Lepisosteus oculatus: one gene and its partners. The protein of the gene in region 4 interacts with the protein of the main gene of each other region in a pairwise test. Links are inferred from orthologs where the notes say so. Each region holds a gene or a part of one and is shown on either strand. Other genes may lie near its edges. The genes, in order: krt94, ndor1, nme7 and tchp.

Region 1 (6,983 bases), on a different chromosome or scaffold from region 4:
GTCCAGAGAGGAGTCCAAAAGGGGAATCCAAAAGGGGGCAAAAGTCCAAAGCCGGGCAGTCCATCCAAGACAGACGAGATTAAAACAAGAACCGGGTCAGGACCGGCACGGGAATGGGAACAGGAACAGGAACCTTGACGGGACCTGGCGCTTCCAGGTCCTGGACTCGCCTGGTACAGGACCCGATGCAGAGCCCGGAACAGAGTAGAGATCTGGCTTTTAAAGGGGGCTGGAACAGGGAGCAGGTGCGGGAGATGAGTGAAAAACAAGGAAGGGCTGGAGCGCCCTTAAGAGGAGGGGTTTACGATTGTGACACAGGGGCCCCGGGTCACGCACTCCCCCCTCGAATTCTGCAGCATAATCTATGTACTGGACCAGGAATCTTGTTAAATGTGAGAAACGGGGCGGAGCGGTGGCTCTGTGGCTCAGGATCTGAGCCTGTGGCTGGAAGGTTGCCGGTTCAAATCCCACAGCTGGCAGAGGAATCCTACTCCATTGGGCTCCTGAGCAAGGCCCTTAACCCCAACTGCTCCAGGGGTGCCGTACAATGGCTGACCCTGCGCTCTGACCCCCAGCTTCTCTCCCTGTCTGTGTGTCTCATGGAGAGCAAGCTGGGGTTGGTGAAAAGACAAATTCCTAATGCAAGCAATTGTAAAGGGTGAATAAAGTGATGTTATACACAATGAGTGGAAGAAGCAGGGACAGCTGGGTGCAGTGATGTGACCTGGGCTGCGAGAGAGATGGCCAGCCTTCAAGCAGCTGACACGGGCCTGGGAAAGCTTTTATCAAGCTGTCAGCCACACGCAAGGGACCGCCACGCCTCCTGGTATTATATTTCCATGTTTCAAGGTTTCGACATCCATGACAGGTGTCATGGTTCCCTGTTTACAGAAAAAAATCTGGACTTTCTAGCTCCTGACAAAGGAGCGATTCAGAAGGAGAATTGAGACAAATTGCTCACCTGAGGAGTCTGTGTTGGGCAAGTCATGATTTGGGCTACTTCCAATTTCCAAGGCAACGCAGACAATAAATACCTCCAGCACAAGCTGAGGCAGCCCTGAGCTGGGAAAGTGCAGAAAGACGTTTCTAAACGCCCCCTAAAAGCCGACATGAATGTGAGAGCAAAGCCAGACTCTGCACTGACACAAACATCAATTACAGGGTGATCCTTACAGCTTTGATATTCATCTACAGTTTCAATTCTAGAAGGAACCTGTATAATGAATATACAGTTGCAGACTAAATTGTAATGACTGGTTGGTAACTTATATTTAAAATAAAATCAGTGGCAAATAGTCACTATAATGATCAATAGTCAAACAGTCTCTCTCCAAAGTCGATCATTCTTTCAGATAACTGAGATTGTAAGATATTTTTCCTGTTTCTTAGTTCTCTTTCTTCTTTTTTTCAGGTGTTCTTGCTACAGTCTCATTTCTCCAGGTTGAGAGCATCGCTGTGTGACAGTGGTGACTTGTTTTACTAACAGTTCTCCAAGTGAAAACTACAAAAACACATCCACGTTTTATAGATTATTAAAGACTCCTGGTCAGCTTTGTACTACATCACCAAAATGCCTGAACCACCCAGCCAGTAATGTTTGGGCTTGCTTCGTTTGTCCTTGACACTGTGTACACACAGAGAAGTATGTGGAATTTTTAATTCATTCATTTAATTCATTTTTAATGCATTCAGTTCCTTCTGCATAGACATAAATACCTGGAGACCAGACTTTAGAAGCTTTGAGAAATATATGAATATGGCGAAAATGTGCTTCATGCAGAACAAAACTTTTAGAATCAGAAGGGCAGGTTGCTTCAGTCTCAGAGGTGCTGCAGCCCAGGACAGCAAGCGCTGAGCAGGGGTGTGCCGGCTGTTCCTCAGAGGTCAGATAAGGTATGTTAGAGCTGGCTGCACCCTGCACACACCTCCCTCTGTCATCTCCCCAGGGGTCAAGGTTCAGTCCCTACAGGCAGTCAAAGCCTCCTTATCAGATGGCGTTTGATGTTTAGGATTTTGTATTTTGGGGCTGAGTAGGGGAGAAATGGGGGTTGGTGAGGAGAAACAGGAATCTGGAAATTCTGATAGATTGAAATATACAGATCGTTTTCCTGCAGCTCCCTATTCGTTTCCTGCCCTGTTCAGGAACAAGCCGGCTGGGCTCCCCTGCCCGAACAGGTCCCTGAACTTTGGGATGATGGGATTAGTAGATTAATTATCTAGTGAACAGGGCCATTTGGAGAAATGACTCTGCTACACTTTTGCACTACTCAGAATATTTGTTTTCTAATATTTCATTTCATTATTTGAGTTATTAAATGCACAACCACAAAAGGAAACATTTTTCTATTATTATTTTGGTAACAGACACCCGAATTGCTGGTGTGTATAATCTAACTAAAGTATACGAGTAAACTAAACAGATAAAAAGGCACAGGAAACAGAGTACATACCAAGCTGACTACACACCTGGGGAAAGACAAGCCTAGCAGCAGCAGAGATGTGCAGGTGCCCAGCAGTGAGGTATTACAGTCTAATTACAAGGCCAGTCTATGGGGGGGGGGGGGGACATTTGGACACAACATGGTCAATCACAGCGTGACTGTTTATAGATACAGTATCAGCGCAAGGGAGAAGTTCTTCCTGCGGTTTCTCACATGCCTGTAGATGGACGTTGCTGGATGGGAGCACTAGGGTGGGACACGCTCCAGTGAGATGACTCGTCTCGTTAAGATGGGGTACTTCTCGAAACTTCCCAGGGCGTTTCTCGAAAAGAGTAGGGGTGTAACCCCTCGGCGTCCTGGCCAAATTTCCCATTGGCCCTTACCAATCATGGCCTCCTAATAATCCCCATCTCTGAACTGGCTTCATCACTCTGCTCTCCTCCCCACTGAGAGCTGGTGTGTGGTGAGCGTTCTGGCGCACTATGGCTGCTGTCGCATCATCCAGGTGGGGCTGCACACTGGTGGTGGTGGAGGGGATCCCCATGACCTGTAAAGGGGTTTGAGTGGAGTGTCCAGAAAAGCGCTATATAAGTGTAAGCAGTTATTATTATTACTTCTCGTTAAGACGAGGCAGAAGAGACAGGAATTGTGAACTTGTTTCTCTTGCTCTGTCTGTGAACAGCAGGAGAGAGCCCAGGTTAAGCCCTGTGTTGAGGTGGGGGTAGGGTGGTGTGGGGCACAGAGTCCAACACTCTCTGAGCCTCCTGTACAGTTCGCCGTGCCGCTAAATTACAAAGCTCCGAAATGAGGGCAAAACACTTAAACTGCCCATGGTGGCCGAATCTTGGTGGTGTGCACATGAGGGGATTGTGTTGTCTGATACAGACCAACTGTAATTTGGAATAATTAGGTATGGCCTGTATTTAAAATGTGTTTTTCTATTGTACATCCAGAGCAATAGCATGAACAACCTGTATCGGTCAGTACAACCAGAGACTTCCTTCCAGCCACCATGAGGTGTGGGTTGGTGGCCCCCAATGCAGAGTTTCAGAACAAATAGCAGCTCTAAACAGATGTTCATCAAAACACAAGGCTGAAGCTGAGACGGAATGGGGAAGACCACCTCCCTTTTTGGAAAAGAAATCTGTTCATGTCTGCCTGTGTCCATGTCATGTCCAGCCCCAAAAAAAGGAAATCCAGATTCTCGAATTGAAATATACAGATCGTTCTCCTGTGGCTCCCTGGTCTCTCTCTGCTCTGCCAGGGGCGCCTCGTTCCCAGACCGCGGTGCTCCTGGGCGTGGAGAGATTTTACAGCCTGCGGGGACGCAGCGCCGTGTTTGGATAAGGAGGGACCCACGCCCAGCGCTCGCAGGCTCGGGAGCCGGAGAGCAGGTCTTCCTGGTGTTCGCTGTTCGACAGGGCGCAATGCAGAGCAGGCGAAAAAAACAGAAGAGCTGGCAGGCAGGCACAAGCATATCTCTCCAGTTCTCTCATTGGGCAAGAAACTAATCCGGATCATTTAAGAAACATTCCAGCAGGTCGCCCCGCCTCTGCCGAGCACTCTGCAGCCCCCCCCAGGATCCGAGACGGGAGGAGGACTGTTGCCCAGCGGCCTCCCCTCCACACCCAGTGCGCACTATATCAGGGGGAGGCGGACAGGGCTGCGCTGCAGTCTCCTGAATCTCCAGGCTCAGGTGCTCCAGTAGCGGTTCAGGGATTCGGCAGCTCTTCCTCTCCTCCTCACCAGCAGCATGTCCATGTACAGAATGAGCAGTGGCCCGCGCTCCAGCACGGTGACCACCAAGCGGGTCAGCATGGTGTCCTCTGCGCCCAAGGCCCTCAGCATGTACGGAGGCCTGGGGGACAGGGCCCGCATCTCCGCCTCCTCTGCCCGCTCCGTGTCCTCGGGATTCGGAGCAGGCTACGGGAGCGCGGGAGGGGGCTTCGGTTCCGGAGGCAGCTTCGGCTTTGGAGGAGGCTTCAGTTCAGGTGGCGGCTACGGTTCTGGTGGCGGCTACGGTTCTGGTGGCGGCTACGGTTCTGGAGGCGGCTTCAGCCTGTCCAACTCCCGGGACTCCGACCCGGTGTCTCTGAACGAGAAGGCCACCATGCAGAACCTGAACGACCGCCTGGCCAGCTACCTGGATAAGGTGCGCTCGCTGGAGGCCGCCAACGGCGAGCTGGAGCTGAAGATCCGGGAGTTCTACGAGAAGAAGGGACCCGCTGCCGAGCGTGACTACAGCCCCTACTGGAAGACCATCAACGACCTGAAAGACAAGGTAACTCACCTGGGCTCCCTGCCCCTCATGGGTCGGTGCACCATCATACTGCATGCTCTGATAGGTACAAGCATGCTGTGACTATGACTAACGTCTGGCTGTTGTTGTGACCTTCTTTGTGGAAGCATGGTTGTCCTGTGATGGATACATCACAGCCACACTTGTTATCATAGGGTGCCCACAACTGTCTTTAGTGACCTTTAGTTGTGAGGCTGACAGAGCTGTGTCGAAGGGAGGCAAGCACTGCACTGCATGGACAGGGTGAGAACAGGGACAGAGAGCAAAAGGCTCAACCTGTTTTTATTGTGAGGGAATGATATTATGCTTTAAACCAGAGTTACAATGTCATGTGTCTTACAAAACGTGGCATGTTTACAAAAGGGCAAAACATTTCTATAAAAATGCCTCGGTTGAACTTAAACAAGAGAGGAAAAGCGAAGAGGAGAAAGGAAAGGTAGTAAAGTATTCTGCCCTGTGCGTATCTGAGGGATCGTCAGGCTGATGCAGCAGGTGTGGCAGGTAGAGATCTCCTACTGCACCTGTCTGGTGTTTCTGATGCTCCAGGCTACAATGTTGTGGATGTGCAGTAGAGGGAGGTGTACAGTCAGGTTCTGAGCATTGACTGCTCTAGCCAGTTATCAGCACAATGTTTCTGCTTCTCTCAAGAGCATAAATTCTCACTACATGATCTTCTGAGAGCACCAGTCACTGAAACAGTCACACTTCAGATACAGCATCCGAAGAGCAAGCACCACTTCCTAAAGCAGTTTGCACAAGTAAACATCACGAGAGAAACTCTTAACAGTCCTGACGGGTCTGAATAAAAGTCAAGGGCTTAATTTATTTTATAAGATATATAAACTTGCACCGCAGGCTCCTAGAACAGGAGAGGACAAAAGGAACAAACACACAGATCAGTAAATGCAGGTGTGTTTCTGTGACAGATAGGCTAGGGAAAGAAAAGATCAGCCCCACCTCCGTTGACTTTGACCTGAGTGCAGGAACCTGGCCAAAACTCTGCTGGCACTGAGCTCACAGAGGCTGCAGAGCCCAGCCTGGGTGTTATCACCTGGGCGTTTCCCACTGTCTGTCCTGTGTGTGCTGTCCCGAGCACCAGGAATGGGCTGTAGCTCTTCTCCATCCAACATGAAGGTTATCTTTCCTGCTTCTGTTCCAGATTGCCGATGCCACCATCGACAATGCCAAGATCCTCCTGCAGATTGACAACTCCAAGCTGGCGGCTGACGACTTCAGGACCAAGTAAGGACAGTTTGCATTTCTCTCTCGAGAGAGAATAAAGTCTTACAAGAAATTTCCCTGAAATCAATGCAAATGATTTGGATTTGTGAGAGATTTTCTTATATGTGTGAGGCTGAAGACACCACTGGTATCCAGTTGAGCTTCCACTAGTGTTTTCTAGCAGATGTGAGTGCGAACGAGGATGAACTTCCACTAAGGGAGACACGTGGTGGACAACCACCTTGATTCTACATATGGTTCCATAGCTGTCTGGGTACTAGGATACAGAAGAGTTCATTTCTGTAATTATTGGAAAGTTTGAGGTAGATCTTTCCTGTTAATAATTCCGGAAGAGCAACCCACTTGGGTTCCTGTAAGAGAAAACTACTATCTACACCTTGTTGATAAAGCCAGACCAACCCAAAACCTCCTCAGATCCCCAGATTCCAGTTTCCCAACCCGGTATTGTCCCAGCATGTCCCTGCAGAGTCCTAGGGCACAGATCCTATAGGTTATGCCAACCACACCACGCCCTGCCCCCCCAACCCTGTCCTCACATCTCGCCCCCCCCTGTCCTGCACAGGTACGAGCACGAGCTCATGATGAGGCAGTCGGTGGAGGCTGACATCGCCAACCTGCGCCGCCTGCTGGACCAGACCACCCTCACCAAGGCTGACCTGGAGATGCAGATCGAGAGCCTGAAGGATGAGCTGGCCTACCTCAGGAAGAACCACGAGGAGGTACGCCCGGCGCCCCAACCCCACCCAGCAGTATCAAACACGCAGTAATACCAAGCTTCCACTGAGGGAGACGTCTCACTTTGACCCTGTTCAGTCTGGGAGCCTGTTTCTCCAAAGGCACAGGACTGATGTGGTTTTGCTCGTATTATTTCTTAGCTGTTTTTAAATAAGTGTGTTGTATCTGAAGGTCAGCCTCAAGAATGGACCCAGGGCTCTGTGCAAGATAAAGCAACAGGTGGCTCTGGGCTCTTGTTATCATCCTCTCTCTCTTCCCACACGTGT
Region 2 (7,095 bases), on a different chromosome or scaffold from region 4:
ACGTCTGCGGCTGGTGAATGGTAATCTGTCGCCTGCCCTGTCTCCTCGTAGTTGACACCTGGAGAAGCACTCCGAGCTCTTCTTCAATGCTCTGATGTTGTTGTTGTTGTTGTTGCCGCACACGGCGTGCTTGCTTGGCACGCCACGGGAAAACGACGTTGGCTAGCTCCGTCGACCCTTAATGGTAGTAAGCACGGCACGGTTTTGGCACGGCACGGCACGACGCGCATCTGCGCCGGTCGCCGGGACAGCCTTGGGCTACCGCAAAGCCCAGGAGCTCGGGTCGCCGCGTTTCTGCCAAACCCGTTGCCGGGAAGGCGTGTTGGGAGGCCCCGGTTCATTCGTTGTCTGTATTTTGTTTTTTGTATCGAAGGCGTCCCGAAGGATGGAGCAGTCCGAGGAACAGGAGGCGCTGCTGGGGGCCGGGCGCGGAGGCGTGAACTCGCCGCCTCTGTCCGAGGCGGACAGCACCCGGGAGGGCTACCTCGAGTAAGTACGAGCATCTGGGGGGTGCCTCGTTTATTACAGTTCAAAATGAAAATGCCCCGGCGTTAAGGGTGGCCGGCGTTTGCTCAGCTTGCCCCTTGGGTGAGATAGTCCGGTATAGCGGTTTATACCTCGGGGGGTGAATTCTCGTCGACAGTGAGGCGAGAGGATCGAAACCCTGACTTGCCAGTTCTGCTTTATGGGGCGAGCTGTAAAATACAGAAGTGAAGAGGTTATCATCGGCCATCGGCGCTGTTGTGGGTGCCGATAAACCGAAAACACGATGTCGATCCCCCCCCCAAGCCGGTGCGCGGTCCTCTAAATTTGCAGGCTGGCGAAAGACGCTCCTCTTGTCAGGTGGGCGCTTGGCGTCACCCCTGTCGATGGTAATTTAGAGCTCAAGTATGTAGCTTGAACTAAAACCTGACGGTATTTAGGTCAGTGGCAGCCCCCCCCGCAGAGAAATGCTGTAGTCATGTGATTCACATGTGATAGTTCACCTACACTGTCCCACAAAGACGCTTTGACCATTAGGGGTCGTGTTTGAGGTCCTGGAGTAGGCTGCACCAAAAATCTTTGTCGGGAAAAACGTGGGGGGGAAGCCAAGCTTATTCAGGTCTTTTTTCATATTTCTTTTTCCCCTTCTCCCCCCTCCCTTAATGAGCAATTGATTGCTCCGGGTCTTGTTTTCATTTCTTTAAAATAAATTATCCTTACTTGGCATCCAGACCAAACAGATGACTTGGGAAAACAAAACAAAAAAAGCAGTATTACAGCATCTGGGGTGTGCACGTACAATGTGTTACTCTCGTCAATCATTAATAAATTCCCTGACTCATTTAACTGCATAAAGAGGCGTTCAGAACCTTTGCCTGTGTTTCCCTTGAAGTTCAGGAAAACAGTTGATTGTCCTTTGTCTGCTGCTGTGCGCTGTAGCGTTCTCTTTGCCCGCTAACGGCCGCTAACGTAGCGGTGCTTGTGTAACCGGTGAGACAGGATGCCGTCTCAGACGTGCGTGAGCCACGCTCGTCACCTCCCGCGCTGCAATAGCGAAGGCGCAGTCAGGACATACAGCGCAGTTAAAACGGTAGAACCTGGATCGACAAGCGTATTGTTAAAACTCTACATAACCCGTCAGTTTAGAATGTTGTGCGTTGATAGGATTTTGATCACCGCAGTCCAGAAAAGGCAGCGCTGCTCTGGAAGCGGTCCGGAGCAGAGCGACTAGGTCTTTGGTTTGAAAGAATGACCTACACTGACCCCAGTGTCCTGGCCAAATTTCCCCCTGGCCTTTACCAGTCACGGCCTCCTAATAACCCCCCTCTCTGAACTGGCTCCATCACTCTGTTCTCCTCCCCACTGAGAGCTGGTGTTTGGGGAGCGGACTGGCACATCATCCAGGTGGGGCTGCACACTGGTGGCGGTAGTGGGATCCCCCATTACCTGTAAAGCTCTTTGAGTGGAGAGTCCAGAAAAGCGCTATCTAAGTGTAAGCAGTTATATTTTATTAATGCCCCCCCCCTCCCCAACGCCAAGCCCCGTGACTGATCCAACCCCCCCCTCTGTGGAGAAAACCTGCGTGTTCAAATCCTGCTGTGCCCCCCTGAGCCGATGCTGTGTTTTCCAGTCAGGTCCAGAATGGGAACCTGTTCCTGGCCACCTTCGCCGCCGTGCTCGGGCCCCTCAGTTTCGGCTTCGTGCTGGGCTACAGCTCCCCCGCCATCCCCAGCCTCAAGAGGGCCGGGGACCCCCGCCTGCAGCTGGACGACGAGGAGGCGTCCTGGTTCGGGGTAGGGCTTTCTTTTTCTGGGTGCGCTCGATTTAAGGGGCAGGGGATCGAAAATTGATCTGTAATAAGGCCGATCAGTGCGTCTCCCTTGCACAGGACAGAGAAGCGTTTGCAAAGCGTCCTCGAGCTTTGGAAAGGTGCTTTATAAGTTAAAAATTATTATTATTATTATTATTATTATTATTATTATTATTATTGAGTCTTACCTTCCGAAAGCAGACGCGTCCCCAGGCGCTGAGCTGTGTTTGCCGAAGGCAGTGCTGGGAAAACACCAGCTCTTCCTGGGATTCCTGGGCGGGTGGCGGATTTGAAAGTGGGGTGCGTCGGGGCAGAGTTTTTTCTGGGTTCTGGGTAACACTGGAGTACAGAGTGACGGACGACTCGTTTTCTTTAACCCTGAAACACACACCGCCAGTTTTTTACACCAAGACGAAAATTCAGGCCGGAAAGGGTTAAAAACTCCTGCCGCCTGGACCTTCGACCTCTGACCTCTGACCTCCGCGCCTGTCCGTGTCTCCCCGTGTGCGTCCCCAGTCCGTGGTCACTCTAGGGGCGGCGGCGGGGGGGGTGCTGGGCGGCTGGGTGGTGGAGAGGATCGGGAGGAAGCTGAGCCTCATGGTCTGCGCCGTCCCCTTCATCCTCGGCTTCAACATCATCATCTCCGCGCAGAACATCTGGATGCTGTACCTCGGACGGGTCCTGACCGGACTGGCCAGCGGGGTGACGTCCTTAGCAGTGCCTGTATGTAAAGCAGCAGCAGGGATAATGAGAGTAAACGCAGTGACGCAGAACATATTAGCAGTCTTAATGAGGCCAATGACTTATGTCTTGTCTGATATGAAAAACCACTTTGTTCTCGTATGTAAATTCCTTATTAATGCATATTAATAAGGGGGTCAGTTGTTCGTTTGTAGTGCCTCTGCAGAGATAACATTATAGTAATAAAAGGGGTCTGTTTAATAGTTTTGCCAGAAGGGAGGGGGGGGGCTGCTCTTTTTCCCTCCAAAGAGGTCGAGTTTGGGTTTCAGGAGAGTTGAACGCGTCCGATTGCAGGGAAAAACGGCTCCGTTGGAAACAGTTGCCGGGGGAGGCCAGCGGACAAACCCGAGCAGCGGGTTTCCCAGCATCCCTGGGCCTTGCCGCGGTTACCGGGCGGGCGGCATGAAAGTTGAATTAAATATCGGGTGAAGTGTCGTTCTCTGCCCCGCGGGCTCCTAGCGCTCTGCACAGAGGCCCAGGGTATGGCCTGGGGGTGGGGGTGGGGGGGTTTGTCAGCTCAACGGGAAGTTTCGAAACCTTTAACGACGCTTGAATTCTGAGTGCTGCCGCTACGTCTGCTTCACTGATCGCACGGTCTGCCCCCCCAGTTGTACATCGCGGAGACGGCTCACGCCCGGGTGCGGGGCATGCTGGGATCCTGCGTTCAGCTCATGGTGGTGACGGGCATCATGGGAGCGTACATCGCAGGTAAACCGTTCGGATTGTCCGTTTTCTTTGTTCCCCCCCGTGGTGCGCTTCCTGTCCTCCTTTCCGCTCTCTGTGCCTTGCGACTGGGGTACGAACCGTGTTCTCACAAGACTCTTGAGTCTCAGACTCCTTGTTCGCACCCGTGCCATCCCGGAGTTTGGTTTTCACCTCGCGGCTGAACGGAGAGACGGGATCACTCTGTGCTGTTGGTGGGGTTTACCTGGCTGTCGTTGCCCCCCCCTCTGGTCCCGATCCGATCCACGAGGCGGGGAGTGGCGTGGTAACGAGCGACCCGGTTGCGTCTCTCCCCGCCCAGGTCTGGTGCTGGAGTGGCGCTGGCTGGCGGTGGCGTGCTCGGTGCCGCCGGCGCTGATGCTGGTGCTCATGTGCTTCATGCCCGAGACGCCGCGCTTCCTGCTGGCCCAGGGGAGGGAGTACGAGGCGCTGGCGGCCCTGCGCTTCCTGAGGGGGCCGGCCGTGCCGCACGAGTGGGAGTGCGTGCAGATCGAGGCCGCGGCGCGGGAGCAGGTGAGTCGGGGGGGGGGGGGCACCTTGCCAAGACTGTAAAGATGAAGTTATGATATTATTATCATTATTAATCCCTCACACTTGCTGTATATGGCACTTTTCTGGACACTCCACTCAAAGCGATTTACAGGTCATGGGGAATCCCACTGCCGCCACCAATGTGCAGCCCCACCTGGATGAGGCGCCAGTACGCTCCCCCCACACCAGCTCTCAGTGGGGATGTGAGCAGAGTGATGAAGCCAGTTCAGAGACGGGGATTATGAGGAGGCCATGATTGGTAAAGGCCAGGGGGAAATTTGGCCAGGACACCCCTACTCTTTTTGAGAAACGCCCTGGGATTTCTAATAACCATAGAGAGTCAAAACCTCAGTTTTACATCTCATCCGAAGGACAAGTATAGTGTCCCCGTCACTGTACTGGGGCATTAGGGCCCACGCAGACTGCAGGGTGAGCGCCCCCTGCTGGCCCCTCTTACACCTGTTCAGCCTGTCCCGGCCTCGGGGTGCACGCTCAGTGCAGCGGAGAGCGGCGCTGAGTTGCGCCACGCTGTTTGCATGCCGTCTGTCTGGGCCCCATTTGCTGTTTAACGCGTTTCCCTCCCTCCCACCCCCTCGGGTGTCGCAGGGCGACAGCCTCAAGCTGGGAGACCTGAGGAGCCCTGCCATCTACAAGCCCCTGCTCATCGGGGTCCTGCTGATGTTGTTCCAGCAGCTCACGGGGATCAACGCCATCATGTTCTACGCCGAGACCATTTTCGAAGAAGCAAACTTCCAGGTAGCTGCCCCTCGCCCTCCCCCCCTTTGCCGTCACGCCACAGACACAGTCTGGGCTCCTCGTGTCGCCCTCGCCCCTCCACCCCACCCCGCCAGTTCGTCCCGCAACACCTGGGGCGCGAACCCGGGTCTCCCGGCGTGACGCCACAGGGAACCAGCCGAGTGAGCTAAAGGAGACCCCCCCCCAGCCCAGGTGGCTGAGGTCCCTGCGACGCACGAGGAGGGAGATGGCGTGGCCGCGCCCGAACGAGCTCCGCTGACGCCTCCCGTTTTCCCTTCCGCGTTGGCCGGGTGCGGCAGAGTGCGGTGGACATCCCCCGTGGGCGTTGTCAACGTTTTACCAGTTCCCTCGATATTTCCGTTCCTTTGCTTGGACGCTCATCTTCAGCTCAAGAAACGAACTGAAGTCAGCCAGGAGAAGGTTAACGAGGGAGAGCCTGTGTCACTGTTAATGAGTAAACCTCAAGTCTGGTGCCAGAACCCAGCATCCTTGTTCGCAGACGTCCCCGTGTTTCCGGAGTAGTCCGTGACCGCCTGTAAATTCCATAGGCATCCCCTCAGGGTGCCGTGTCCAGGCTGGTGTTGGGAACAGCAGCCCAACGTACTCAAATATCGCTCCGCTGTCCGCAGTTTCCCCACTGCGGTGTCCTGGGGGGGGAAGAACCCGGATGGTTACGGAGTGCTGACCGGCGACCGTGGTGCAGTACGTTGCATGCCGGGTGCCGCTCCTTCGATGGGGAAGGACATATTTCTCGAGCTCCGTACTCGACTTTCGGGCCGGCCATGTGCGGGAACACCCCCCCCCTCCCCTCCCTGCTCTGGCTGGAGGACCGGGAGGTGGGGGGAGGCATCTCCCAAGGCTGTAGACGGCCGAGGGAGCCCCGCCGGATCGATCCGCAGGCCGGATTCCAGGGATCGGTGCCATGAGCTTAACGGCGGGTTGTTTTTTTTTGTTTGTTTCAAAAGGCCAGCAGCGTCGCCACGGTGATCGTGGCTGCCATCCAGGTGGTCTTCACGGCCCTGGCGGCGCTCATCATGGACCGGGCCGGGAGGAAAGTCCTGCTCGTCCTCTCGGGTGAGTCTCTCCGGGGCCGATGCGGTCTCTGACTTTTAACGCAGACTGTTACATTGATCCTGCAAAGCACCAGCAGTTAAATAATTAATCGTAATTATACCCTTACACTTACACCACGCTTTTCTAGATACTCCACTCAAAGCACTTTACAGGGAATGGGCAATCCCACTGTCACCACCAATGTGTAACCCCCCCCCACCTTGATGATGCGATGGCAGCCAGAGTGCCTCAGTCCGCTCCCCACACACCAGCTCTCAGAGGGAGGAGAGCAGAGAGGGGGGTTATTAGGAGGCCATGACTGGTAAAGGCCAGGGGGGAATCTGGCCAGGACACTGGGGTTACACTGTTACGCACAGTGTGTGATTGGTATTGTACTGGGCTTGCAGGGAAGATCCAATTAACAAATTGTCTTTGTGTTGTATTAAGCAGAGTTCCAAGTCTTGCCCTGTAGAGGGCGCTAGTCCATTGTCAGTAATGCCGATATTCCTGTATACACGTGGGGCTGACTGGAGCATTCGGGGTGCAGTACCTGGCTCATGTGGGGTACAATGTCCACAGCAATATCTGTGCTGGAGACTTGAACCCCCGGTACCCCTGCATTGCCCAGGACTGAGCGCCCCCCCCCCGGGCTGGTGATGGTAATGCTGGCTGTCCTTCTCCCCCACCGTGTGTCCGCAGGGTTGGCCATGGCGGTCAGCACGGCCGTGTTTGGGGCGTACTTCAAGATCACCAGCGCCGCGCCCACCAACGGCTCCTCTCTGAGCGGGGTCCCCCTCCTGGCCGCCCAGAGCTCTGCGCTGCCCCCCTCTGAGGGCAGCCTGGCCTGGCTGGCCCTGGCCAGCATGGGGCTCTTCATCGCAGGTACAGCCTCAGGAAGACTTGGCCTCCAAAACCAGGGTTCTTTTTTCTCAAGATTCGCGTTCGCAGAGAAAATCCGGGAACGGGACTGTGCCCACGCTGCTCCCACCCATGGTCAC
Region 3 (7,495 bases), on a different chromosome or scaffold from region 4:
CCAGAGGCCCAGGTGGATGGGATTCCTGGCCCCAAGTGAAGCAACTTCGTCTGGACAGTAAGAGGGACCATCACTGTCAGGCAGGGCGTCTGAGAAAAGCTGGCTTGTTACGCATTCACTGTCCCCTCCACCACTGACAGAGGGCAGAACTTTGAGCTCTGGATCCAGCACAGAAATGTCAAGAGGCGTAGCTCTTGGGAAGGCATTGGGAAGTCATGAAGCTCGGGAATCACTGCGGGCTGGACAGTGGAAAGATTCTTTGGAAAAGCTGCCTTCAGTGGGTGGGCAGATGAGTGCTTTCTGGGAGGTAGAAGTTTCCAAAAGTGGTTGAAGCTGTGGCTGACCCTGAACTTTTACCTTGCTGGAAGAATCTGTGCTTTTCATTCTATCAGCAGGTTGGTGATCTGAGGTGTGCCCTGCTATAAAGGTGCGGTGCTTTTAAGGAGGACTGGTATTGAAGCACAGAGAAGTCCAGGGTCCTTGGCAAAGTGGGAGTTAAGACTCTTCATCCAAGGGAAATCCAGGTCCAGGATGAGGGGCTGACTGCAGGTGCAGGAGCAGGAGAGGCAGCACAAAATTTAGCCACTGTCTGCTGAATTAGTATGTGTAATAGTGAACTTGTTCAATCTTTCAAACTAGTCTGCTTATCTCCTAGGGCTGCCAGGAAGGGTTATGGAGTGTTTCGCCCTCGTGCTTGGCTCTGTCATACTGTAATAATCTACCACTGTGGTGGAACCAGCAGCGGATCTGTGAGGAATATTGTGAACCCGCATGCCGAGCGAGAGGCAGATGAGACAGAAAAGGTGTGCAGTGCTGCGCTCCCACAGAGAAGCTGCACAGGCAGTGCACACCCATGGGAAACAGCAGCTGTGGCTGACTAGGAAATCAGGAAGTAAACACAGTCCTAATTTATGGTCGAGCAGGCAGGGGGCAGATCCTGAAAACACTGGTGAAAAATGGTTCGCAGTAAGGAAGATTTTTCCTCAAATGCTCTAATAACTCTAGGAATGACTCCAGAAAAAGCTCACTTGGCTTTTAACAGCATCATTCTGTCAAAAGCAAGTGCTTTAACACAAGCAGTAGACATAGAAGCTATTCTCCTAACAGCCTCGTGCTGTAGGCACCACCGATGTCACAACTCAGCAGATTTGATTTGTAGGGTCTCAAAAAGTGGCTGTCTCTAAGTGCATGAAATTTTAATGATTTTCAATTATTTTGTGTGAATGCCCTACCTAGTATTGTTTCTATTTAAAAATCCGTTCAAATTATTTAAAATTAAACAAAACAAAAAAAAAATCAGACATCAACTAAAAAGTCCAAATCAGCAGCTTGACAGGCAGACCTGCGGTGTTCAAGCACTATTATATCATTTTGCTCCATGAACTAAAAGGTGCCTGAAATGGAGACCAGCTTGACATCAGTGTTTCTTATTGCTGTACCTTCATATAAATTGCACATGGAACATCAGTGGAGACTGAAAAGAATCCCTTTTGTTATAATCACTACCATCTCTGCAGTTACAGAAGAACTTTCAGAATGTGGACTGAAATTGCCCGTGCCTTTTCAATCAACAATTTCCAATCTGTATGGATACATTTTATCCCACAGTCATACCTCATGCCAAGATAAAAAAAAAAAAACAAAAAAACGTGTTTGACAAGTAGAAGAATACTTGGGCTTTTTACAGGTAATCAAATTGTGGAGAATCTGACACGAGAAAGCCAACCTCAATAAACCAGAATGCCACTCTAATGACACACACAAATGTGAGATAGCAGGTTAAGTAACAGCACTTACAGAAGGATGATAAAATCACACATGAGGTTTGGATGTTCGGAAGATGTGGCCGAACCATGTTAAATATGTTGGTTAAACGCAATAGGATTCAGTTCTCCAAAATGTTACAAGCAACTCACTTGTAACATGTATGAGAGGAATGTCATGCAATTAACTATTAACTGCTGTGGACTAAAACTTAACGCAGCTTTAACCATGATGTCGCTTTCCGAATCTATGTTCAAGCCCATGACTCTTGGGAAGCCCTTGGCTTCCATGCACGTCTTCAAACCATGAATGATGTAGTTCACAGAATTAATTTGCATACTGTCATTTGTTTCTGGCTGACTACTTCCCCCCGAACTGTACAAAAGCAGAGCACAGCATGACCCCCCCCAAAATAACATTTTAGATTTACTTGTTTCCAGGACGTTCATTGACTATGATAACCGGGTAAATGCTTTGGTATACCTGCTGTTCTTTGTTCTGCAGGTATATAAAAAGGATCATAGTCAACATCTGTTTACTAGTCATTATTCAGAGCTTTGCCCTTTAGTGAGCAGGAAAAACAAAACATTGAAATTTTGCTTTTCAAAAATTAGTAAAAGGAGCAAATGTGACACCTAGCGGTACAGCTGAACTAAGGATGAGCGTGAGCTAAGGAAGCAGTAAAAACACGGATACTTCAAGGCAGGTTATCACCTTCGAGGACTACGGCCAAACGTAAAAGCATCTGCGGGGGATGTAAGCACTTATTTAGTTTTTCTCGTCAATTTTCAGGGAAAGCCACGCTTTTCAAGAGCACGGTGTAACGTCACTCTCGTAACACAATGAGACTCGACGTCCTCGCATTTAGAGCAATCGCAATGAATCTGATGTGAGTGTTTGATTTTCATCATAAGGCAAATATCTGACCTCTGAAAAGCCTTGCATCCTGCAGGAATGCGTCGTCCTCCGCTGGATCTTAACGGCAGGACCTGACTTTATTCGGTTATGATCATACAGAATACGAGACGAAGTTATTTACATACGTGTACGTGGATACCTCAGGGATTCGTCCCCAATTAATACACTGCCGCTGCAGATCTGTAGATCTGTTAACAACTGTTGTGAAACAATGCTGAATGTCCCTTCAGAACAAAATCTGTTTACGACGACAGTAGGAAGCTCTTTACCACTTCATTATGAATGCTGTGTATCCAAGTGCTGTAGAAGTAAACATTACAGTCGCTAGTGCCTTGTTTATGAGGCACGACTACTGCGTCTACTGACATGCAACTATTTTTATAACTATTGTACCCTCGTTATATATCATGTAACCACCAACAGTGTGCACAAAGAGGCACTATAGCTATAAAGAGACGCAACGTCACAAACTGTTCTTTAAGAGTAAGAATAGGCTAAATTATAAACCTTGTGATCGCTACACACTGCAAAACTACAAAACAGAGTGATGCAGGAGCTGGAGCTACAAATAAATGCTTCGGGACAAAACTGAGAAGATATCATAGTCAACATCAGAAACATTACCAAATTACGAGCCATTTTTAAGTGTCTCAATAAACATACTTTGATAAGCTATAGACGTCTTGGCTAACAAAAAAAGAGCTTCCCGAATTTAGCTATGATATAGGTATCCCAGTTTATTCCCTTATGTGCTTTTTGAAAGTCGTTTTCTTAAGTGATTTAAAAATACAGGAAAGTGAAGAAAACAAGAGATCAAAACCTCCTTTTCCAGTATAACTTACAATTACAATTCGACCTTAAACGTTAACAAACATAAATATATATAATGGGTTAAATGAAATATAAAATCCATGCAACAGATAAAAAAACAAAACAAAATATTGCTCACCATCCTGAAGGGTCTGTGCTCGCTCGTTTAGTCAGTCAACCCGCGGCATCTGTCCGGGTTCATCACCATAGCAACAATGTAACGAAGCGTACGGAAACACGCGCGCGCTGGCGAAAAAAAATAGCAACAAAAGCTAAAAGTAAAGTATATATATATAGCTTTTATTTTCATAAATGAAAACATTTGATTGTTTGATTTATAGTATCTAACTAACAAATTGCGAGGTGACGCTTGTCAAGGGAGGAAGTATTTCTATGACCTTAAAGGTTATTATGAACAAGGCGGTGTGTGTTGTTGTGACGCGTTTGTCGTCATCTTTGTTTTCTTTTCTTAATACGTAACTGTGAGTCTTCAATGTATGTAATCTTCATGTATTATATAATATATTTTATTAATTAAAGTATTTGACACTTTAAATGAAACCTTATATCACTGTCTTAAAGGAGAGCTGTCAGAATTAAACCCTTACATTTAATAAAACGATCATGCAAAGATCTTGTTCCGTCTGTGTATGTTTAGCCTGCCCTTTTGAACTCTTGGCCGGCTTTAATAAAATCAGCCGAAAGGTATATAGGTTCCATTCTTTGCAGTATTCTCGCTTAAAAACCGACCAGATGGCAGCCTTAGTATATAATGTTTCTGTTCATGTAAATACAGTCCTTAGTATGTCATTGTTATGTTAATTTAAATACAGTACAATAGATGTAGAAGTGTGTTTTTGGACAGCTCTGTTTTGTTTTCTCTTTTTATATTGTTCGAGTATAGTAGAGTTGCTGTGGAAATAAAAAGGCATGTGTTTTCCTTGCAGAGACAGTTACAATACGACCGAGGACAGAGTCAGAGGAACTGGGGGAAAGGTACGTCGTTATGGGAGCCGCAAGCATTAGTTCACATGCTTTAAGTTCAAGTTTTCTTAAAGCTTAAGATGTAAAATCAAAATGTGACCTGAAGTTTCTCAATACGCAATACACTTGTACAAATGTACTGTTTTCTCAAATCACAATACAGTTAGGCTTTCATGCGATTCTGCCTATTTGCAGGTTAAAGAGCAGTTCCACAGATTCTTAAAGAACTGCAACGCTATTTTGATATTTCGGTTTTTTGAAAGAACGAGCGCCAATAATTCAAATGTACACAGTAAGTTGTAAAACCTTCAATTTACATCACAAAAGGTACGACCTTTCCAGGTAAGCACAGCGCCATATTCTGCGATTCAAGACTAAGCAACAAAAAACATACGGTGAGGGAAAGCGGCTCCACTACATTGTGAACAAGTAGGCTTGTGAATCCAATAGAAATATTGCTCGTGACTTGGAAACGGTTTTGCGGATAAATGGGACTTCTTAACTCTGCGTGCAGATCACAGTTGTAATATTGCTGTGGTGAAATCTCTGCTCCACAACCTGTACTTATTTTCTCGTACATCGCATTACGTGAGTCAATACAGTGACTAGCGAGCATGAAGGGCTGCTACATGACACAATTTGTGGGAACTCTCTCGACCATGGTGAGACCTGGGGTTTGTGACAACCTGGTGACTTAGTCATTTCACAAGGTTCGTTATTTTGTGCTTAATTCCAAATTTGTAACATTTTTTCTATACTTTTTTTTATATATTATTTTGTAATAACCAGTCTGCAGAATACACATAACAGGCCAGATTAATGCATTTCACACATAATATTGTGTGAATATTAAAGTGGTTGTTAGATTTATACACATCATGACATTTTTACAAGGTAAAATATCTCTGAAAGCATTACTTGTTTATTTTACCAGATACAACTGCATCTCTCCTCTGTAAAAAGTTTTTTTAACCCTGTTCTACGTGTCTAGGTGGTGCTAAAACACTGAACTATTCCAGATAATATGACTAATTGTACATTTGAGTCATAATCTGTTTCACCAGAACTCTTGATTGATACATGGTCAGAATCGGGTGCTACAAGGCTTTCTGTCATTTCATGTCATTAATTTTAGGTTATATTTAGAAACCCTGAAGTTGAATACCTGCATGTTGTTATGTGACATTTTATAGCGAAATATTTATATTCAGTAACCATCTTTGAGACATAGATCTGCTAAAGCTGTTTTAAAAATGTTTTTTTCAGAAAGAAAAATGAACATGGATGGCAAAATAGTCATTCTGGATGGTGGATTGGCAACAGAGCTGGAAGCAGCTGGTGTAAAGATACAGGTACATTAATGATTTATACAGTAAACCTGGACTAGGTAACTTTGGTTTATTGCTTCTGTATATTTTACATGTTTTACACCTCAAGCAATTTGTTCTTATGTACTGTATCAATTTATTATACTCATACAGTTAGAAATATATCCATTTATTTTCATGATGTTTGAGAGCCCACAGTCATTTGTAATATATGTAAAATAAGATGAAAGGCAGTAAGGCACAGTAATGCTAGACAAATACTATAATGTTTCACTTTTCCAGGGGGATCCACTGTGGAGTGCTAGGATTCTGCACACTAACCCCCAGGCTGTGAAAGATGCCCATTACAGGTAAAACCTAGCCCAGAGTTTTCACTTCATACACACACTGTATTTTATTATTTTAAGTTTTACATAAAATGTGCAAATACATCAAAAATAGTGGTAAAGGTGTGATGTTTATTGTTTCTGTATATTCATAAGAACAAGTTTTTTTCTGGATATAGTACTCTTTCATTTAAAGCATACCATGTGATATACATTGAATGAACATATACAGTGGGTAGATCAAGGGTACTACAGGCAAACCCTGGTCTTGGAGAGCCACTATCCAGCAGCTCTTAAAGGTCACCCTTAAATCATTAATTTGCAAAAACATGGGACACGAGAGATGTGAACAGTTTGATCAATTAAGCAATGGAATTTGTTCAATTAAGACACGAGTGGCCAACTGTTATACTGGAGAGCTACAGGTGTTTTCTTTTCTGATGATCTTGAAACTATCTGATTCAGTGATAAAATACTATCAAGTGTCAAGAAACTGATGATTTAAGGATGACCCATAAAACATACTTGTTTATTTCCCTCCAGGATGTGGGTTGGCTACCACTGACATACTGTAGGTAGTGCTGACAAAAAGCAGTAATACTTTTATTGTTCTGTAGATTTCTTTGTAGTGGTTCTGATGTTGTCACAACAGCTACATATCAGGCAAGCGTGGAAGGATTTATCAAGCACTTGGGTCTGACTTCAGAAGAAGCAATTCAGCTACTGATGTCAGGTGTTCAGATAGCTAGAGAGACAGTGCAGGAGTTCAAGGTGAACTGTCTTCAGCCAGGTAAATGCAGCTTCTTTTTGTAAGAAATGACATCTATATTTTCCATAGTTCAACATATATCCGATGTCTGGAATATAATCCTTGTGATGTATTGATTAAGCTACTGGTTTAAGAAAACACGGTTTCTGATCCTCTGAAGAAAAGGTGCTACTAGTTGCTGGCTCTGTTGGACCCTATGGAGCATTTCTGTCAGATGGCTCTGAGTACACGGGATCTTACGAGGAGGGAATGAGTATAGAGGTAATACAAGCTAATTCTTGTTTTTAATGTATTTGTTTGTCTACTGAAACACTCTGTTGAAAGAGTAATGTGCATTTTATTTTAATGAAATAAGTAATAATAAGTAAATAAGTATAAGAGTAATGTGCACCAGATTTAATCACACTGCAAGTTAGCCATGGCTCAGAGAAAGAGGAAGAGAAAGAGGTTTCTCTGGGAAGGTTCTTGGCAGGCGTGTTGCAGTGTGAACTCTGTAGGACATTTGTGGTCCATCCACTGTCATTATCCTAGGTGAAAATGTGATTTATTTGAATCTTTTTCTTAACCAAAATCACACTTTCCTGGTGTGTTCCATA
Region 4 (7,934 bases):
AGACCTGTGGCTCTTAGACTCAGCCTGAGTTTCACAGGATGTATTACAATGGAGTGTCACACAGCGATATGTACAATTAACCCAAGTCATACTGCCTGACCACCAGGGAGATGTATGAGGGGCCATGGCATTCTTCAAATGACATCTAACTTCATGATACATTTACTCAGACTTCAGTAAAAGCATAATTGTTAACAGGAGATATTGAAAGAACATTCATTTCAAATGTTAGGTGCCAGTGCATTTTGCTTTTCTGCAAAGTTAAGCAAGAACTGGTATTAGATTACCCTATGCCTCTCAATAAGGCATAGGGGCAAATGTTAATTAATGGTGATGGTGCAGGTACCTGTTTTTTTTCTCTCGTTTGCACCTGCCAGCTGTTCACTACATGGTCCTTGTGCAATGCTGATTCAACCTAGAATATAAAAGTATAAGGGGACGTTAAGGATTTCTTTCCTAACTTTAACACCTAACACTAAGAAGACAGAAAGTCAGATAAAACTTTTATGTCAAAACAATTGCATATTAAGCTGTATATATGTCTATTTAAATTAAAAAAAACAGTCTCTTAGGCTTCAATTGATTCTGCAAAATCCCCTGCTGCAGGTAGCAGGTCTCTGAAGAAATAATTTATCATTATGGGACAGGAACTCAATCCTAGGGTCAGGATTACACACTGTCATGGAACAATGATGTCAATGGCCTATTAGTTTCAGGATCAAGTCAACACCTTGACGCACTTCTCCTCACACTTTCACACCATGTGGTTCTCTTTAATTTTGCTGTATTTCAAGGACTCAGAACAACATTAACATTTTAAAAACTGATCCTTAAGATTCATTGCAGTTAGTAAGAGTACCCTACCTTTCAGAATGTAACACGTAGGATACAGAAATACTAGAGATGAACAAATTTCATATAACTGGATGCCTTCTGCATGTACCTCAAAATACAAGTAAATAACAAAGTGATGTTTGCAAATAAACTTTCAGACCATGCTTTTACCACATAAAGCATAGAAAAACAAACTGTACCTGACGTAAATCTGAATTATTTCTCTTCCAATGCTCCTGCAACAGCTCCTCTGCCACCTGTGACCAAAATCAAAAACTGCATTAAGGATTGCCAACAAGAATGCAGCTAACTCGATGATCAGGCCACTGTTTTCTCCCAGTCATAGCTTGGCACCAGCTGTCTTTGTTCTGTCTCACCCTGAACCTTTATCTTTCGCACGAATCCCACAATAACACGATTGATTATGTCAGGGCTGGATCAGGCTGAAATATTTCCCTGCTTACTTCAAACTACAGGAACTGGTTTCTGTAACGTGAGCACTGCTTGTACCTTCTTTCTCCGCTCTTCCCTGGATGTCCTGAGCCCCTCCATCCTCTCTGTCATCTGTTTGGCCAGCGTCTCTCTGTCGGGGACCAGTTCTCTGAGCTCAGCCTCCAGCTGGTCCCTCTCCTCCTGCAGGAAGGCTCGGAGACGGGCCCTGCGCTGCTCCAGACTCCTCTTCTTCTCCTCCTTCACTTTCTCCTGATGGTAGGCTGTCATGCTGGCAACAGGAGAGAGGCTGCCAATACTTAAATGGGAAAACTCAGCAGTTCACAAGGCTAAGAATTATTAGTAGACCAGTGGAATATGAAAGCACTTTTAAAACTGAACACAGGAGTCCTTTTTTTTCTCCACATAACTTTACGGAATAAGCTGCCCAACCATGTTGTTAAGCGCGATACCCTGACATTGTTCACGAAATTGCTGGATGAAACCCTCGGATCTATGAGTTATAAACAGCTACATGAGCTAGTTGTGCTGCATGTCCTCCTCTAACTTGTAACCTTTCTCACGCTCTTTTTTAAAGATCAAGGCAAGAATCAAGGAATCTTGCTTTATTGCAACGGGTATATATGAAAATAACGTTTTTCCTATTTTTTATCTTAGTTCTAAAAAGGATTGAACGCCTGTAGAAGGGAATGACTGTTTTATAAGAGTGATCTAATTCCATCCCAGCAAATTATCCTCGATGGGTCTCAAACACCACATACTGAACATCCCAAAGCACTTTGCCAAGCAAAGCGCGTGTAAACAAAAAGCAAAATCAACGATTCATCGTTGTCCAGCACATTGAGGTTAATAAAACACATTGTTGAAAGAGGTTTGCTGAATCACCTCTGGTGGTAAGACTGTCGGGAGCTCCACTGGGCTTGCTTGCTGCTCCGCACGTTGTTCTGTTTGAAATACTGCGAGTGCAGCTCCCACTGCTGCCGGAAGCGAGCCTCCTGCTCCCGCTGTCGCACGATCTGCTGCTCCAGAACTCGAGAGCGGCTCGGACAGCGCATCGAGAGGGTGGGAAGAGCCATCTGTTTCCTGCACCTTAAAAAAAAAACAAACGTTCATTGTAATGTAGGAACCCTTTCCTTTCAAACATCAATCAATACTAAAACAGAATGTCACAGGACCACAGATGATTATATTCTACACCCTTATTACCATTATTAAACTTTACAATGGGTATTCCTAGTTTCCTTGCACTAAAAATGACAATAACAACTCATTCACCTTTAGACTTCTACATTATTAAATGCGTTACCGTACACAAATAAGCAAGTATTCAACAATATTGCATAGATAAATGTTTAGATGTTACGCGTTATGTTTAACAGTGGTATCGTACTGTTCTTATCCCCTGCGATTTTAAACTAACATACATCGCGATGTACTATTGTAATGTTCATGTGAGACATATTGACTTGGTTTAAACATCTGGTTTCATAAGCACTCGAAATCAATATAATGCGAATTTGTAGTTCATGCAAAAGGGGACAATTCGTCTAAGAGGCAAATACTCACTGTAGAAATATGATTATCACGTTTTCAATAACGCAGTAAGGTAGGCTTTATTCCAAGTGGAAGCTTGTTCCAACTTCAAATTTCAGAAATTTCAGTTGGCGACAGTTCCTTTCGGCTATTTCCTGTTTCACTTGGTAACCGGTTTAACTTCCTGGTTACACTACGGATGCCGTAAGGGACAAAGCACATGCTTAGACGTTTCCCGTGTTCTTAACTAATGTTTCGAAACCGACATTCTGGATGTCCATAGCCTGCGTTGAATCTGCACTTAAAGGCTGATCACAATAATTGTTCAAACAAATTGCATGAAATGGCAGATATAATGGACTTTTCTGGGTTGGTGGCAACTCTACATTTTGTCTCGCTAGAAATTCTCAGAGAAACGCGTTTTAGGCACATGTTTAGCTGAACTTTGTCTTGAAATGCCAAAGATAGCACCTAAAAACCCACTGTTTTATGACTTGCTTGCTTTGAAATGTTAATTTTTTTTAAATAGAGCATCCAACATTTAGTATTTAGTGTGCGTGGTTTGCTCCTATAATAGCTTCGCGTTTTATTTAATTTTAAATTAGAAAGAAAGTAGAAATTTACGTCACCAGTCATTCACCAGTCACTGTAAATCACAACAATATAGGATATACCTGTCTGGTGAATGTAGGAGACAAAGATTAAATATGCTTCGTTCAATTTCATTGTCTGCCCCGCATTAAATATAGAGCAGCTATGAATGTTTCATGATGAACAGATAACCATGGCTAATTATACCCTAGAAGTGTTGTCAGATATCGAAATTGTCAGTTAAAGGGTAAAGAGGATATAAATAAATTAAAAGAAAAGCCCTTTCACAAGTTTAGAATGTGAGGAGTTGGGTCCTCTGAATTATTGATCCCTTGCAATGTTCTGCTTTAGTACATTTAAGTGTCGCATATATCTTTAACGCAAATAATACAAATAATGCAAATAAGACTTGAAAAGTACCCATTATTAAACATACTGTATATATAGTGATTGATTTATCAGATATTGAATCATCACGACATATTTTTGAAGAGCTGCTTAATTATTTTTGGCATTTTTATAATTCAACGTTTTGACCATGTAGCAAACAAAAAAATATATCGTTTTATAATTTATTTACTCGCTTATCTATTTGTTTCTTTCTTTGTCTTTTACAGAGGAAACGTTTAGATAGAAATCTCTCATCTAAAACCATAAAGCGAAAGGGGAGATTATGTACATCTACACTTGTAAAAACCTTTTCTTCACACGAATCAAATCCTCCGGACATTCAATATGATACAACATGCCTGATGTGAGCCCTGTACTGTCTCAATTTTTGTTTTCCTTTTTGGAACCATGTTTAAACTCAAGGACCACAGTTCAACGAGTACTGTAGGTACAGAAGGTTCCAGGTAGGTCTGTGCCGCACGGCTCTGGGAGTTTCTTTTCGGTATTGGCTGGTGTTGTCCCGCCCACCTTGCACCTGATAGGCTAATCCGAAAATCCAGCTGGAGCCACTCGCTCGCTGTGCGGCCCCCCGAGCTGTCAGTTCAGTCGCTCCTCTACTCCACCACACAAGCGCTCTCTCTGACAGTTCCGGGTTTCTGTTTTTGAAGCTTTATTTCCCCCTCGATTGACGAGTTTTAAATTACGGTTTTGCCGTGACAGTCGCGCACCATGGCTCTTCTAGCGGAGCATCAGTTTAAACAGCTTCCAGCCGATAAGCAAGTGGATACCAGATCGTTTTTGGAGTCGGTGTCGTACCTTCCGTCTTTCTTCGGTAAGTTTCTTTAAATTCACCTGGGCAGGGAGGACAAATCACCTTTTTAGCAACGGATGCCATTCCTTTCTGTAAACAAAGCGATCTCGGGGTGTGTTGTAGTGTTATCTTTGTGTTTCCACATAAGGATCTAAATCGCTTGAAGTCGTATTATCCATTTTTTTAAATCACCTTGAAGTCTCTTCACTTTATGCACGCACTTTGGAAATGTGTTTTAATGCTCCAGCTTCTTTATAAGATTTAATCTGACCACGGTCAGGTAAACAAAGAGTTTTATCGCTACGTTGTGGTCTGTTATATCAGTGCTTAATAGTAGCATTTTTTAAACGATCGGAAGTTAAATATTTTCATTCAGCTGCTCCGTGAAGTTTAGTCTAACTTTGCCTCGGTAACTTCAAGATGAATGCTTGGTCGGAGGCGAAGCTTACTGTAAGATTCAGTGATGTTCCGTGTTTGAGATTTGTGCTCTGCATGTGTTAAGAAAAAAAAAAGAGGTTTCAGAGTGCTGCTTGCCCTGTACGCAATGATTACCAGAATTGCAATAAATGAAACTCCGCTGAAAACGTGCAGAACTGCACTACACCGCAACATCGTTTCTTCTTTGAATACAGTACAATCGTAAGAGACATAACAGCCGCGCTGCTTGAGGTATATTTATCGTTTTGGCTGCTTGGCATATATTGTTGTTAATGCCAAATAATCAGCAGTTAGTAACTAATTAATTATTCGATTAATTAGTATTTCCTATTAATTGTCCAATGGCATTTTAAATCAACTGCATGAACGGTTTTACTACCTAGAACTGCAGAGGAAATTTAAACCTACATTTATTTAAGAGAAATTGAACAGATTACAGGGTCTCGATAACATAGAACTGCCGCTTATCTTTGCTTAATCTTCTTCACTTTCTCCGGCTTCAACATCCAAATGAAGAACCTGATAGCCTGAGCCTGGTGGTATCTGGATCCCGGGCTGTAAACATAAGATGCTGCCTTTAAACGTGAGAAGCGCACTGCTTGTCTAATCTATATTTACAGCCTGATAGTAATCCCACGCTTCACTACGATGGGTTGACCCAGAATGAACAAGTACTCGTTTAATTACTGTTATTCAACAGACTAACGACTGCTTTATAAAGGAACACATTCTGTAACGGGGTAGCTCAAAAGTCCCTTCTCATGTTGTGTATAAAAAAATAACAAAATCGTTTTATCCTGCTCGTTGTTGGATAGACACTCATTCTGTTTTGATAGCTACACTTATCTACACTTCATCTATAAAATACAGTTTAAAGACTTAAGTTCTGTATAGACCTGGTGGGGTTAGGGAAGTCATTGACTCTGGGGTAAGTGACTGAAGGTTCTGATATTTGCAACATATTAAACACACCTATGCCTTACTTTAAATGGAGAACAGATTTTATTTTAAGGCCACAATATAGTAAAAGGCACAGAGCAGCACTTTCCATTTTTAATGACTAGGCAGCTCTAATCAACTGGAATGTGAATGTAGTATACTCTTGGAGTGTATAAAACCCATCATTGCCTGATTTCCTGTTATGTTCTGAAGTGATGAGCAGACACGGGCATTGTGATTGTAGCACAGGGGTCTCCCTGACGGGAGATGGGTCTGTAAGGAGGGGCGTACCTCAGTTATCTGATGTATGCTTTGTTTTACCTGTTTAACTGTCCTTTGTTTCATTTTGTTACCATTTGAAGACTGGTCTTTCAAGGTTGGTAATCGATATTTTAATGTGTGATTGCATTGTTTTCTTTGTGTGTGTGGGTCCCCAATATACATAAAATGGTGAGGGGCGTATTGTCTTTACAGCATACTCTTGTTAGACGAAACAGAACAAAGGAATGGAAATTGGAGACTGACTCCTATTAAGCATTGATGCTGCATTATATACTACTGTACATAGAATATCTCATGTCCCAAAGACTCCAGTGCTTTTCCAAAACACTTTCTCAGTGACTTATCTCCTGCTGAGTGTATGTGTGCATTTGAAACCAACAGCAGTAGTTTAATCTCTACCTGGTGCCCGGTGCCACTTTAAATAACCAGACAGATTTCACAACGCAGACAGATTTCCATCAAGGTCAAACATACCACCAATGTATTGGCTTTAAGCTGGAAAATATTGTATACAAACCTTACAGAAATTATTTCAGCAGATTTGGACATACAATCTGCTGTAAAAAGGAAGGCAAATGCTTCATGTTTCCTGACCTAACTCCTACAGTGAGTGGCTTTTACTGGGTGGTAGGGACAGTTCTTTTACATAACCTCTAAAGCAGATTAATCTGCTTTTTTCCCACATGCTGTTCATATTACAAAGATTGTTCAAGGATGCTGTCCTAGAACGCTCTTTCTACAATCCTCTTAAAAGCTCCTAATACGGACTTTTGTTTCTCTGAGCATCACCCTGATCTTAGTGAGAATACAAAATCAGGCACCTGACGTTACAACTAGACGTTTCAATTGGAGACATCCCGAGGAGGTAAAATTCGAAAATAAACGTCTGTCCTCATTCTGATTCACAACACAGTCACACATATCCATTCTGTACTTCCACACAGCCTTTCCTCAGTGGTAACCACTGAAATGTGAAGGCTGAAATGATTTTTCGGCTCTCAATGAGGGGCAGTGACATTGCAAACCTATTCGAAGCCAATCACAACATTTCCCGTGAGCCACAGATTCCCTATAGCAGCTTTATACTGTGAGACATCGCCTTTAACATGCCTTAATCTTTTAGGCATCCAGAGGCCATTTTTGCCTGGAATGGATGTGCCCTTCTTAAGCAGATTAATTTGAACTGTTTGTTCCCAGCTCTTAAATATGCTGGACCTTTAACCATGGTATTTTGAAAGTGAAATAAAAACCCCAAACCTGTGACTAGAAACAAAAGGCAAATATTTCAACGAAGCAGCTTCTTAGACCAACTAAGAATTCAGTAATCTAATGAAGACGTTCAAGTAGGTGGCTGCGTCGGCATGTGTAGGCTGCAATGGAACAAGGGTGGGTTTATTCCATGCTGAAAGGAAAAGAATAGACAGATCCTTTCGGCTGGGGAGCTCCTTCGGGCCGAAACATTGTGTCTTTTCTTTTCAGCATGGAATAAACCTTCACTTGTTCCTTTATCTAATGAAGGTGGGATGGTCCAGCAGGGGTGGGGGTCACCAAGATCAGGATTGGGATTGGGACTATCAGGATTGGGAACCACTTTGTTGAGATTGGTGAATTCCTCATAAAGGTGAACCGTGTAGCATGACAATGTGAAAGGAGAATGGTGAGGGAT

What was found.
Region 1: the proteins of tchp (region 4) and krt94 interact in binary tests that used the Homo sapiens proteins (3 or more experiments, as listed by UniProt). The link is inferred for Lepisosteus oculatus from reciprocal best matches to the Homo sapiens genes TCHP and KRT16.
Region 2: the proteins of tchp (region 4) and ndor1 interact in binary tests that used the Homo sapiens proteins (3 or more experiments, as listed by UniProt). The two-hybrid records come from large-scale screens. The link is inferred for Lepisosteus oculatus from reciprocal best matches to the Homo sapiens genes TCHP and NDOR1.
Region 3: the proteins of tchp (region 4) and nme7 interact in binary tests that used the Homo sapiens proteins (3 or more experiments, as listed by UniProt). The two-hybrid records come from large-scale screens. The link is inferred for Lepisosteus oculatus from reciprocal best matches to the Homo sapiens genes TCHP and NME7.

The regions. Positions count from the first base shown.
Region 1 is NC_090723.1:10,006,742-10,013,724, reverse strand, and holds the start of krt94 (keratin 94), read left to right. Parts: upstream 1-3,977; 5' UTR 3,978-4,194; coding exon 4,195-4,722; intron 4,723-5,899; coding exon 5,900-5,982; intron 5,983-6,544; coding exon 6,545-6,701; intron 6,702-6,983. UniProt on the Homo sapiens protein: Epidermis-specific type I keratin that plays a key role in skin. Acts as a regulator of innate immunity in response to skin barrier breach: required for some inflammatory checkpoint for the skin barrier maintenance.
Region 2 is NC_090719.1:2,813,984-2,821,078, forward strand, and holds the start of ndor1 (NADPH-dependent diflavin oxidoreductase 1), read right to left. Parts: upstream 3,014-7,095; 5' UTR 2,950-3,013; coding exon 2,772-2,949; intron 2,672-2,771; coding exon 2,482-2,671; intron 2,277-2,481; coding exon of another isoform or gene 2,114-2,276; intron 696-2,113; coding exon 618-695; intron 490-617; coding exon of another isoform or gene 374-489; intron 21-373; coding exon of another isoform or gene 18-20; exon of another isoform or gene 1-17. Other genes in the region: slc2a8 (solute carrier family 2, facilitated glucose transporter member 8), read left to right, coding at 18-20, 374-489, 2,114-2,276, 3,643-3,742, 4,059-4,270, 4,895-5,044, 6,010-6,118, 6,797-6,979. UniProt on the Homo sapiens protein: NADPH-dependent reductase which is a central component of the cytosolic iron-sulfur (Fe-S) protein assembly (CIA) machinery.
Region 3 is NC_090710.1:23,186,035-23,193,529, reverse strand, and holds the start of nme7 (nucleoside diphosphate kinase homolog 7), read right to left. Parts: upstream 3,008-7,495; 5' UTR 2,710-3,007; coding exon 2,692-2,709; intron 2,521-2,691; exon of another isoform or gene 2,497-2,520; intron 1-2,496. Other genes in the region: homocysteine S-methyltransferase, read left to right, coding at 4,117-4,197, 4,440-4,488, 5,743-5,828, 6,087-6,154, 6,748-6,920, 7,060-7,160. UniProt on the Homo sapiens protein: Possesses an intrinsic kinase activity. Displays 3'-5' exonuclease activity with a preference for single-stranded DNA. Does not seem to have nucleoside diphosphate kinase activity.
Region 4 is NC_090717.1:5,755,816-5,763,749, forward strand, and holds the start of tchp (trichoplein keratin filament-binding protein), read right to left. Parts: upstream 3,002-7,934; 5' UTR 2,851-3,001; intron 2,374-2,850; 5' UTR 2,361-2,373; coding exon 2,170-2,360; intron 1,556-2,169; coding exon 1,345-1,555; intron 1,092-1,344; coding exon 1,035-1,091; intron 416-1,034; coding exon 347-415; intron 1-346. Other genes in the region: gltpa (glycolipid transfer protein), read left to right, coding at 4,528-4,630. UniProt on the Homo sapiens protein: Tumor suppressor which has the ability to inhibit cell growth and be pro-apoptotic during cell stress. Inhibits cell growth in bladder and prostate cancer cells by a down-regulation of HSPB1 by inhibiting its phosphorylation.